Linked DNA regions of Coturnix japonica. The protein of the gene in region 2 purifies or fractionates together with the protein of the main gene of each other region. This does not show direct contact. Links are inferred from orthologs where the notes say so. Each region holds a gene or a part of one and is shown on either strand. Other genes may lie near its edges.

What was found. The genes of interacting proteins can lie anywhere in the genome.
Region 1: the proteins of USE1 (region 2) and RINT1 purify together in Homo sapiens (co-immunoprecipitation; 3 studies listed by BioGRID and IntAct, counting the BioPlex papers as one, with this or other methods). This does not show direct contact. The link is inferred for Coturnix japonica from reciprocal best matches to the Homo sapiens genes USE1 and RINT1.

What each region holds. Positions count from the first base shown.
Region 1 is NC_029516.1:12,589,317-12,593,063, forward strand, and holds the start of RINT1 (RAD50-interacting protein 1), read left to right. Parts: upstream 1-1,183; 5' UTR 1,184-1,344; coding exon 1,345-1,521; intron 1,522-1,589; coding exon 1,590-1,831; intron 1,832-2,685; coding exon 2,686-2,859; intron 2,860-2,935; coding exon 2,936-3,085; intron 3,086-3,747. Other genes in the region: PUS7 (pseudouridylate synthase 7 homolog), read left to right, coding at 126-262. UniProt on the Homo sapiens protein: Involved in regulation of membrane traffic between the Golgi and the endoplasmic reticulum (ER); the function is proposed to depend on its association in the NRZ complex which is believed to play a role in SNARE assembly at the ER.
Region 2 is NC_029543.1:3,207,488-3,211,234, reverse strand, and holds the start of USE1 (vesicle transport protein USE1), read left to right. Parts: upstream 1-851; 5' UTR 852-905; coding exon 906-1,007; intron 1,008-1,225; coding exon 1,226-1,275; intron 1,276-2,078; coding exon 2,079-2,157; intron 2,158-2,512; coding exon 2,513-2,665; intron 2,666-2,933; coding exon 2,934-2,952; intron 2,953-3,625; coding exon 3,626-3,656; intron 3,657-3,747. Other genes in the region: MYO9B (unconventional myosin-IXb), read left to right, coding at 1-426.

The sequences.
Region 1 (3,747 bases), on a different chromosome or scaffold from region 2:
TCGAGGCTGTTGTATGAGATCAGGGATGGCGGTGGAAAACTTTGGTCCGGTTTGGATGGCACTCAGAGTAAGCATTATTTATGTTCTTTACTTTCTTTTTGCTTTGTCTCTCCTCTTTACGATAGATGGTAAATTCCGGGCACTGAAGATGGAGTTCTCCCTTCCGCCATCCACTTACGCCACTATGGCGATCCGAGAAGTTCTGAAGATGGACACAAGCATTAAAAACCAAACGCAGCTGAACACTACCTGGTTACGCTGAGTGAACTGCTGGCACGGCCTAGATTTTAACATGTACAAAGTGTTTTCCTACTTACGTTCTGTACAAATCTTTGAAGGGTGGCAGTGAGAGATTTGTATTTTTTAAGTTTTTATTAGTGCAAGCAGTTAAATTAAGTAGTTATTAGCAAGATGCCGGTTGTAATGTAATACGGGCCTTAGTGACTGGTGCTTTGTAACGAATGGACCATGAGGTCGCTTGAGCTGTGTTGCTGCATCTCTGAGAAGCAGGCTTATGGCTTCTGACCTGGGCACATGTTCGTCTCGCTCTGTTTCAGCGAGCAGTGAATGTTTTTATCAGTTCAGCACACCTTGAGATCTCTATATTAAAGTACAGCATTAGGAAAATTAGAGCTGAGTGAAGGTACTGATGGCTGTTTGCTTCCAAGAAGCTGCTGCGGTCAGCCGGGCTGGCTGTGTGCTGCCACAGGGCACAGCTGTTTTAATTAAACACGAGCTTCTTCCGGGGAAAATGTGTGCATTTTCAGCTTCACCAAGACAAGGTACTGGGAATAGTTAACCAAACACAACGGTGTGTCAGTCCGTAGCGCCTCGCTCTGTCCCTGGCTGAGCCAGCCTGCTGCTGGGAGGCAGAACGAAGCTGCATTTTAAACGATTCTAAACCAAATAGGGAATTCGTGCTGCTTGTGTGAATAAAACGCCGTGAACGGAAGGTGCTCCCGGCTCTGTGCTCCCTGAGGTGGGGTTATGGGGGAGCTGTGTGGAAGGGGCGGGCGCGGCCATGGGGGTGGCTGAGGGGGAGGCGGGTGCGCATGCGCCTCTGGGCCCGCCCCGGCTGTGATGTGTGCGGCCTTGGGCCGCGCTGTGCTGACGCGGCGGGGCGGGGAGCGAGGGGCTGCGGGGCCGGCGGTTTGATATTGCTATTAAAGGCCTCGTTTTAAAGGCCGGCATGGCTATTAAAGGCCTCGTTTAATGTTCAGGTGAAGAGGAATCGCCCTGCGTTCCCAGGAGCCCCGTGTCCTCAGTAGGTCGGTAGTTGGTCGTGTTCCCTTAGTGGTAACCAAGTAGAAATTACGTAAATAACATTGCGGAAAAAAAGAAGGCATGGCAGCCGTTAATGTGCCGAAGAAAGAAGTCGTCAGAGATCCGGATCGCTGCGATATCCCGTACTACGTTTCAGAATTTGTGGAAAGAGAAGTTGGGAATGACTATGATTCTCTGAAGAAGCTGGGCAGCCTCATTGAGAAGCTGTCTGAAAACAAGAGGCAGCTGGAAGAACAGGTAAGTGTCTGTGCTCATTCTCCGTGTGATTTTTCTGTGTGAGGCTTAATGCATGTCTGTAAATGCAGGTTCTCACGGTTTCATCCGAAGTCCCTAAAAGAATTCAGAACGCCTTAAAGAATGCAGAGGACTCAAAACAATCTCTGAATCGGCTTCTAGAGGAAGAAACTCTCCTGTCCGATTCCATCAGCAGCCACTTAGAGAAAGCTGAGCCGTGGATGGAGGATCTCGGGGTGCTGATCAGCCAGGTGGAGGAGATTGAGCATCACCTGGCCTATCTGAAATGGATTTCCCAAATAGAAGAGTTAAGGTAAAGCCGATGTACTTATGGAGAGTTCTTACTAGTGGTATCACACAGCTTCTTCAAAGATTCAGTGTTAAATAATCACATTTAAGGAATAAACGAGAGCAGCAAGTTGTCATCTGGCCATATAAACTGTTAACGTGTTCTCTGGTGAGAACTGGAAGTTATTGCTCTGGCTTAAGGAAGAGAACAGTAACTGTGTCGATATGTGGATGGAACTCTTTCACCCACTGTAAATTATGGTGTAAGAACTAAAATAATACTGGAATATCTTGAGCGGAAATGTTACGCTTCAGACTTCGTGATTCTGAGTTTTCATTCTGGTACACTGATTTTATCGTAATGGGAATGAACAGTGCTGTTTTAGTTAATGTGATTTGTAGCTTCCTTCAGTGGAAAACTTTGTGTAATGCTTGTAAAGAATGTCAGAAATTGGAAGATTCCTTTGGGTCAGATTTTGTACAGAGAGACTTAAGTTATGAAACAACTTGGTCTGAGCTATGAAAATGTGACAGGTGTGCTGCAGTCTGAAATTTGCTTCCAGTTTTCCTCCTGGGAAGCGTGAGGAAAAGCAGATCTTTGAACAAGTTCCATAAAGAGCAGTGCTTCAAAGAACTTCGGGCCTCCCTTCTTTCCTTCTGCCTTCAGGTCTCGGTGACAGGCAACTTAAGGAACTTCACACAAAGAACTTGTTTCGTGAATCCTTGCTGTAGGATGTATGTGATGGGAGTGGTAACCTCGTTAAAGTATTTCAGATTGAGCATGTTTTCTGCCAGTTTCTCAATATGATGGTTCTTTTGTGTTATCTTTAGTGAATTTTTGTCTCAACTCTTCTTGTATTTATGTTCTTGTGTTCATAGTGATAACATTCAGCAGTATCTGATGACCAACAATGTTCCGGAGGCAGCCAGTACTCTAGCGTCTATGGCAGAACTGGATATTAAACTTCAGGAGTCATCTTGTTCTCATCTTCTTTCGTTTGTGAGATCCACTGTTAAATTTTGGCATAAAATTCTTAAGGACAAGTTGTCAAGGTACAGGACGACTCATCACTCCCTCATTTCATGTTGTGCCGTAGCTTGGTGGTAAAGTGTGTGTTTTGTGTTGCAGTGACTTTGAAGAAGTGCTGACCCAGCTTCGTTGGCCATTTGTGGGGCCACCGCAGTCTCAGGCGTTTGGCCTTACTGCGCCAGCCAACGCTTCTGATGTTTACAACAATTTAGAGGTTTTGTTCTGCCAGCTTCTGAAATTGCAAACATCGTATCCTTTAAAAGTGTAAAGAAAATTGCCTTGGGGGTGTTGGTTGGTGCTTAGCTAAACATGAGCCAGCAGTGCACCCAGGTGGCCAAGAAGGCCAATGGCATCCTGGCTTGTGTAAGAAATAGTGTTGCCAGCAGGAGCAGGGAAGTGATTGTACCCCTGTACTCAGCTCTGGTGAGGCTGCACGTTGAGTACTTTGTTCAGTTTTGGGCCATTCACCACAAGAAAAACACTGAAGCCTTGGAGTGTGTCCAGAGAAGGGCAACAAATCTGTTGAGGTGTCTGGAGCGCAAGTCTTGTGAGAAATGGCTGAGGGAAGTGAGATTGTTCTGTCTGGAGAAGAAGAGGCTCGGGGGAGACTTCAGCTCTCTCTACAACTGCTTGAATGGAGATTGGTGTAACTGGTGATAGGGTGAGGGAACTGTCTCAAGTTGTGCCGGGGGAGATTGAGGTTGAATATTAGGAACAATTTTTTCTCTGAAAGAGTGGTCAGGCATGGGAATGAGCTGCCCAGGGAGGTGGTGGAGTCACTGTCCATGGAGGTATTCAAGAAACATTCAGGTGTTGTACTAAGGGACGTGGGTTAGTGGAAGAATATTGGTGGTAGGTGGGTGGTTGGACTGGATGATCTTGGGAATCTTTCAACCTTGGTGATTCTGTGG
Region 2 (3,747 bases):
CAGTGCTGCGCTCAGAGCTCTGACGTGCCTGCCAAAGACATTTGCACAGTGCCTTCTCTTTTGCAAACCTCTTCAAGTTCTTTGTCTGCATCCCTGGCTTCAAGACGCAGATTGTCTTTTACACTGTCCAAGATTAAGGTGCCCCGTCGAACTCCAGTGATGCCAACAGCAAACATCAAACTTCCTCCTGGGATTTTCAAATGTACCGAATCTCAGGGCAAGGCTTCAGCTGATGAAGAGTCTCCAATAGTGGTGAGACGAAGGGAGCAGCCAGCAATACGAACTGATAAAGTCCACTCTATCTACATTGCACAAGGGTCTGCAATGACCCACCCTCAGGAACTTTTAGATGAATATGAACCAACAGCAAAAGTAAAACGGAGGTTTTCAGACCCTTATTCCCACCTTGTGTGTACGGAGAAGTGAAATACTGAAGCTGTCTGGATCTTTCTGAAGTTGACTTTAGATTTTTAAGGCTTTGAAGGCTGTGAACTTATTCATGAATGTACAGGTAAAGAAAAAATAGCGTCCCGTTTCTGCTGCCGTGCCTTCTTCCATTTGCCTTACAGTGGACTTTAATGGGACCAACAGTGAGTGTGGGTCAGTGTACGTTGCCTTAATTTTGTATGTTTTTATGACGACTTTGTGCGGTTTACAGAACTGTTCGTGTTGTAATAGCCTTAACTGAGACCAAATGTACAAAAATGTTCATTAATACATTGCACTTTTTAAAAAAATACACCAAAGTTTGTGTCTATTTATCGACGTTTATTATCTGCCTGTATCTGTGCTGTGTGGGGAGCCCCGCCTACAACGGCCGAGCGTCTCCATCACCTCCCGCCCCGCCCTAAGATGGCGCCGCCCGGAAGCGGTGCTGAGGTGGCTTCCGGTGCCGGCTGTTCGCAATGGCGGCGACGCGGCTGGAGCTGAATCTGATCCGGCTGCTGAGCCGGTGCGAGGCGCTGGCGGCGGAGCGGCGGGATCCCGAGGAGTGGCGGCTGGAGAAGGTGAGGGGCGGCCCGGCCTTGTGTTGGGGAGGGACTGGCCGGGAACAGCCCTCGGCCTTCAGCAGCATCATTCTGCTCCTCGGAATAAACAGAGGTAGCCCGGTGTCAGGGCGTTAAACCCCATTGCGCTGTCAGCCGTGCTGCGGCTTCTGCCGGGATTAATATTAATATCTATCCGCAATGCTGACTCCTTTCTCTCTCTCTCCTTTCTCTCTCAGTACGTGGCCGCCCTGGAGGACATGCTGCGGGAGCTGAAGAAGCAGTGCAGGTGAGGGCTGCCAGGATCACATCGTGGCGTTGGGGCCTCACTGCCCTATTAGTATAAAAACCTCCCTGTGTGATATCTTGGAGTTCTGATGGTTTTAAAACCATTCCCCCTTGTCCTGACACTGTCTGCAGCCTCACTTTAAGTACTGGGAGGCCACAGTGAGGTTTCCTCAGAGCCTTACTTCCTTCACCATACTTTGTGCTCTCTGGTGTCACCGTGGCCCTCCTGTGGATGTATTCCAGAAGTTACATGTCTTTCCTGTGCTGGAGGATACAGTCCTCCAAATGGGGCCTCACAGGAGCAGAGCAGTGGGAGACAATTCCCTCCATGCCCTGAGCCACCCCTCCCATCCCCCATTGATGCAGCCCAAGATGCCGTTGGCCCTTCAGGCTGTAAGCACACACTGCTGGTCTGCATTCAGTTTGTCATCTACCAGCACCCACAGCTCCTCGGTAGGGCCGCTGTTAGAGCGTTCTTCACCCAGTCTGTTCACGTATCTGGGGTTGCACTGACCCGAGTGCATCAGGCAGTTGCACAGCTGTGCCATGTTCACATACACGCTTCATTCTCCTTGTCAGCCTCGGCTCTGCACAGTGTTCCTCTGCTTGGCTGTGTCCTGAGCTGCTGCAGTCACAGTGCCTCGGCAAGGTGGTTTGAGGGGGTGCAGGTATGCTCCCAACTTGAGTCTATTTCTTTCTTGAAAAAGCCCACGTTGATTAATTTGATTTGAAGACTTTTCTAAACAATGGAAATTGGTAATGCTTTACTGCTTTTCACATGTTTTTTTTTCCCAATTCTAATAGCAAGCCTGCCCCAGAACTGCTCAATGAATACACACGTAAAGTAGACTTTCTAAAGGGACTTCTGGAAGCTGAAAAACTGGTAAGATATGTTAGTTTACCTTGGAAAAACTTAAGAGATATTCTCCTCTTAAACTCTCCTTGTTGCCTTGTTCCTACGCTTGCTTTTATCTTACATCCCAAGATAACACTTGTTAAAATCTTATCAGGCAATTCTCGACAAGAGTGAATAAATATATTGTATTTTGTTGAAAGAGGGTATTGTGTGAAGTCTGAAACTTCTTCCTTCCTTCTCCAAGCTGTAGTTTGCAAAATTCCACAGCCATTCCAGCAGCTGTGGAAGTGCTCCCTAAATCCTCATTGGCCATACATCCAGGTGGCCTTACGCTACTGAATGATGTTTGTGACTCTTTCTCGTTGGTTCTTCTTACTTACAGTCTTCATCAACTGAAAAGGCACTGGCAAATCAGTTCTTAGCCCCTGGGCGTACTCCTACTACGATCAAGGAGAGAACCCCAGCTTCCAAAACGGTTCATCTGCAGACCAAGGCTCGTTGCACAGGCAAGATGAGGAGTGAGCTGCTTGGTACAGTATGTTCTGGTGCTGCTGCTTCTCTACTATTACTTTATAGATGGTCTCTTATGACATTTGGTTGCCTTTGGTGGCTGTGCCTCAGGTACATCCTAGGCTGGGGGTGGAGTCACCTTTTGTTTTTCCTATGGATAACCTAAATACTGGGCACAGGTGCCATACTGTGCATGGAGGCCCTTGAATCTGTGATTCCATGTGATTGTTCCTCATGAACCTTTTCACTGGCCCTTTGTAATCTTTTCTTTTGTTTCTCTTCCTGCCTCCCAGGATCCCTTGGCTCTCAGTGGTAAGTTCAATCTCCTTTTCTTTAATTGACCTGAATTTTATGAGTAAAGAAAGAGGAAAGTCAGGTGTTAGAGGTGTATTTCTAAATTACTGACTCACTTCTTGTCAAGATATAAGATATAAGATATAAAAGAAACACTGAATAGGTGAGAACATGAGCAGTGTTACCTGTACAGCAGAGGAGACTTGCAGGAATTCATGCTGAAACAGGTGTTTCAATTGTAGCATTAGCAAGGAGGGTTTGTGTTTGTCATTGCCAACGTTCTCTTCTGCTGTGAGCAAACCGTGTGATCTCAGGAGCTAACATACAGCCACGTTATTCACGTAGGGAACTGGTAGGATTTAATTTGTGGTTTCCATAGCTACTGTAACAGTGGCTGGAATGAGGCCAGTCTGAGTGTCCTGGAAGAGAACAGCACAGCCCATGGGCGAAGCCGAGCCCTCAGGGAAGTGATTCATCTCAGGTGTTTTATTCTCCCAACCAAACGTTTGCTGTTATGTACTGTCTTTTCCTGGTGGAAAACAGACGTTTGAAATCCACGTTCCCTGGTGTAGAACCAGGCCAACTGGGATTACATCTCTGGGAAAGAAAATCTTTCAAGGAACTTGTTTTATCAGCCTGTGATTGTGCAGTGTTGAGTAATATGCTAAAACAGCATTTATTTTTGTTCCAGATTCTGAGGAGCTGAATGTAAGGAAGCGGAAGTAAGTCAGAATTCCTTATTTTGATGCTCCGTGCCTTGGGACTGCCTTTCCCAATGACCTTAAATCACAGATACGTTCCCATTTGGGTGAA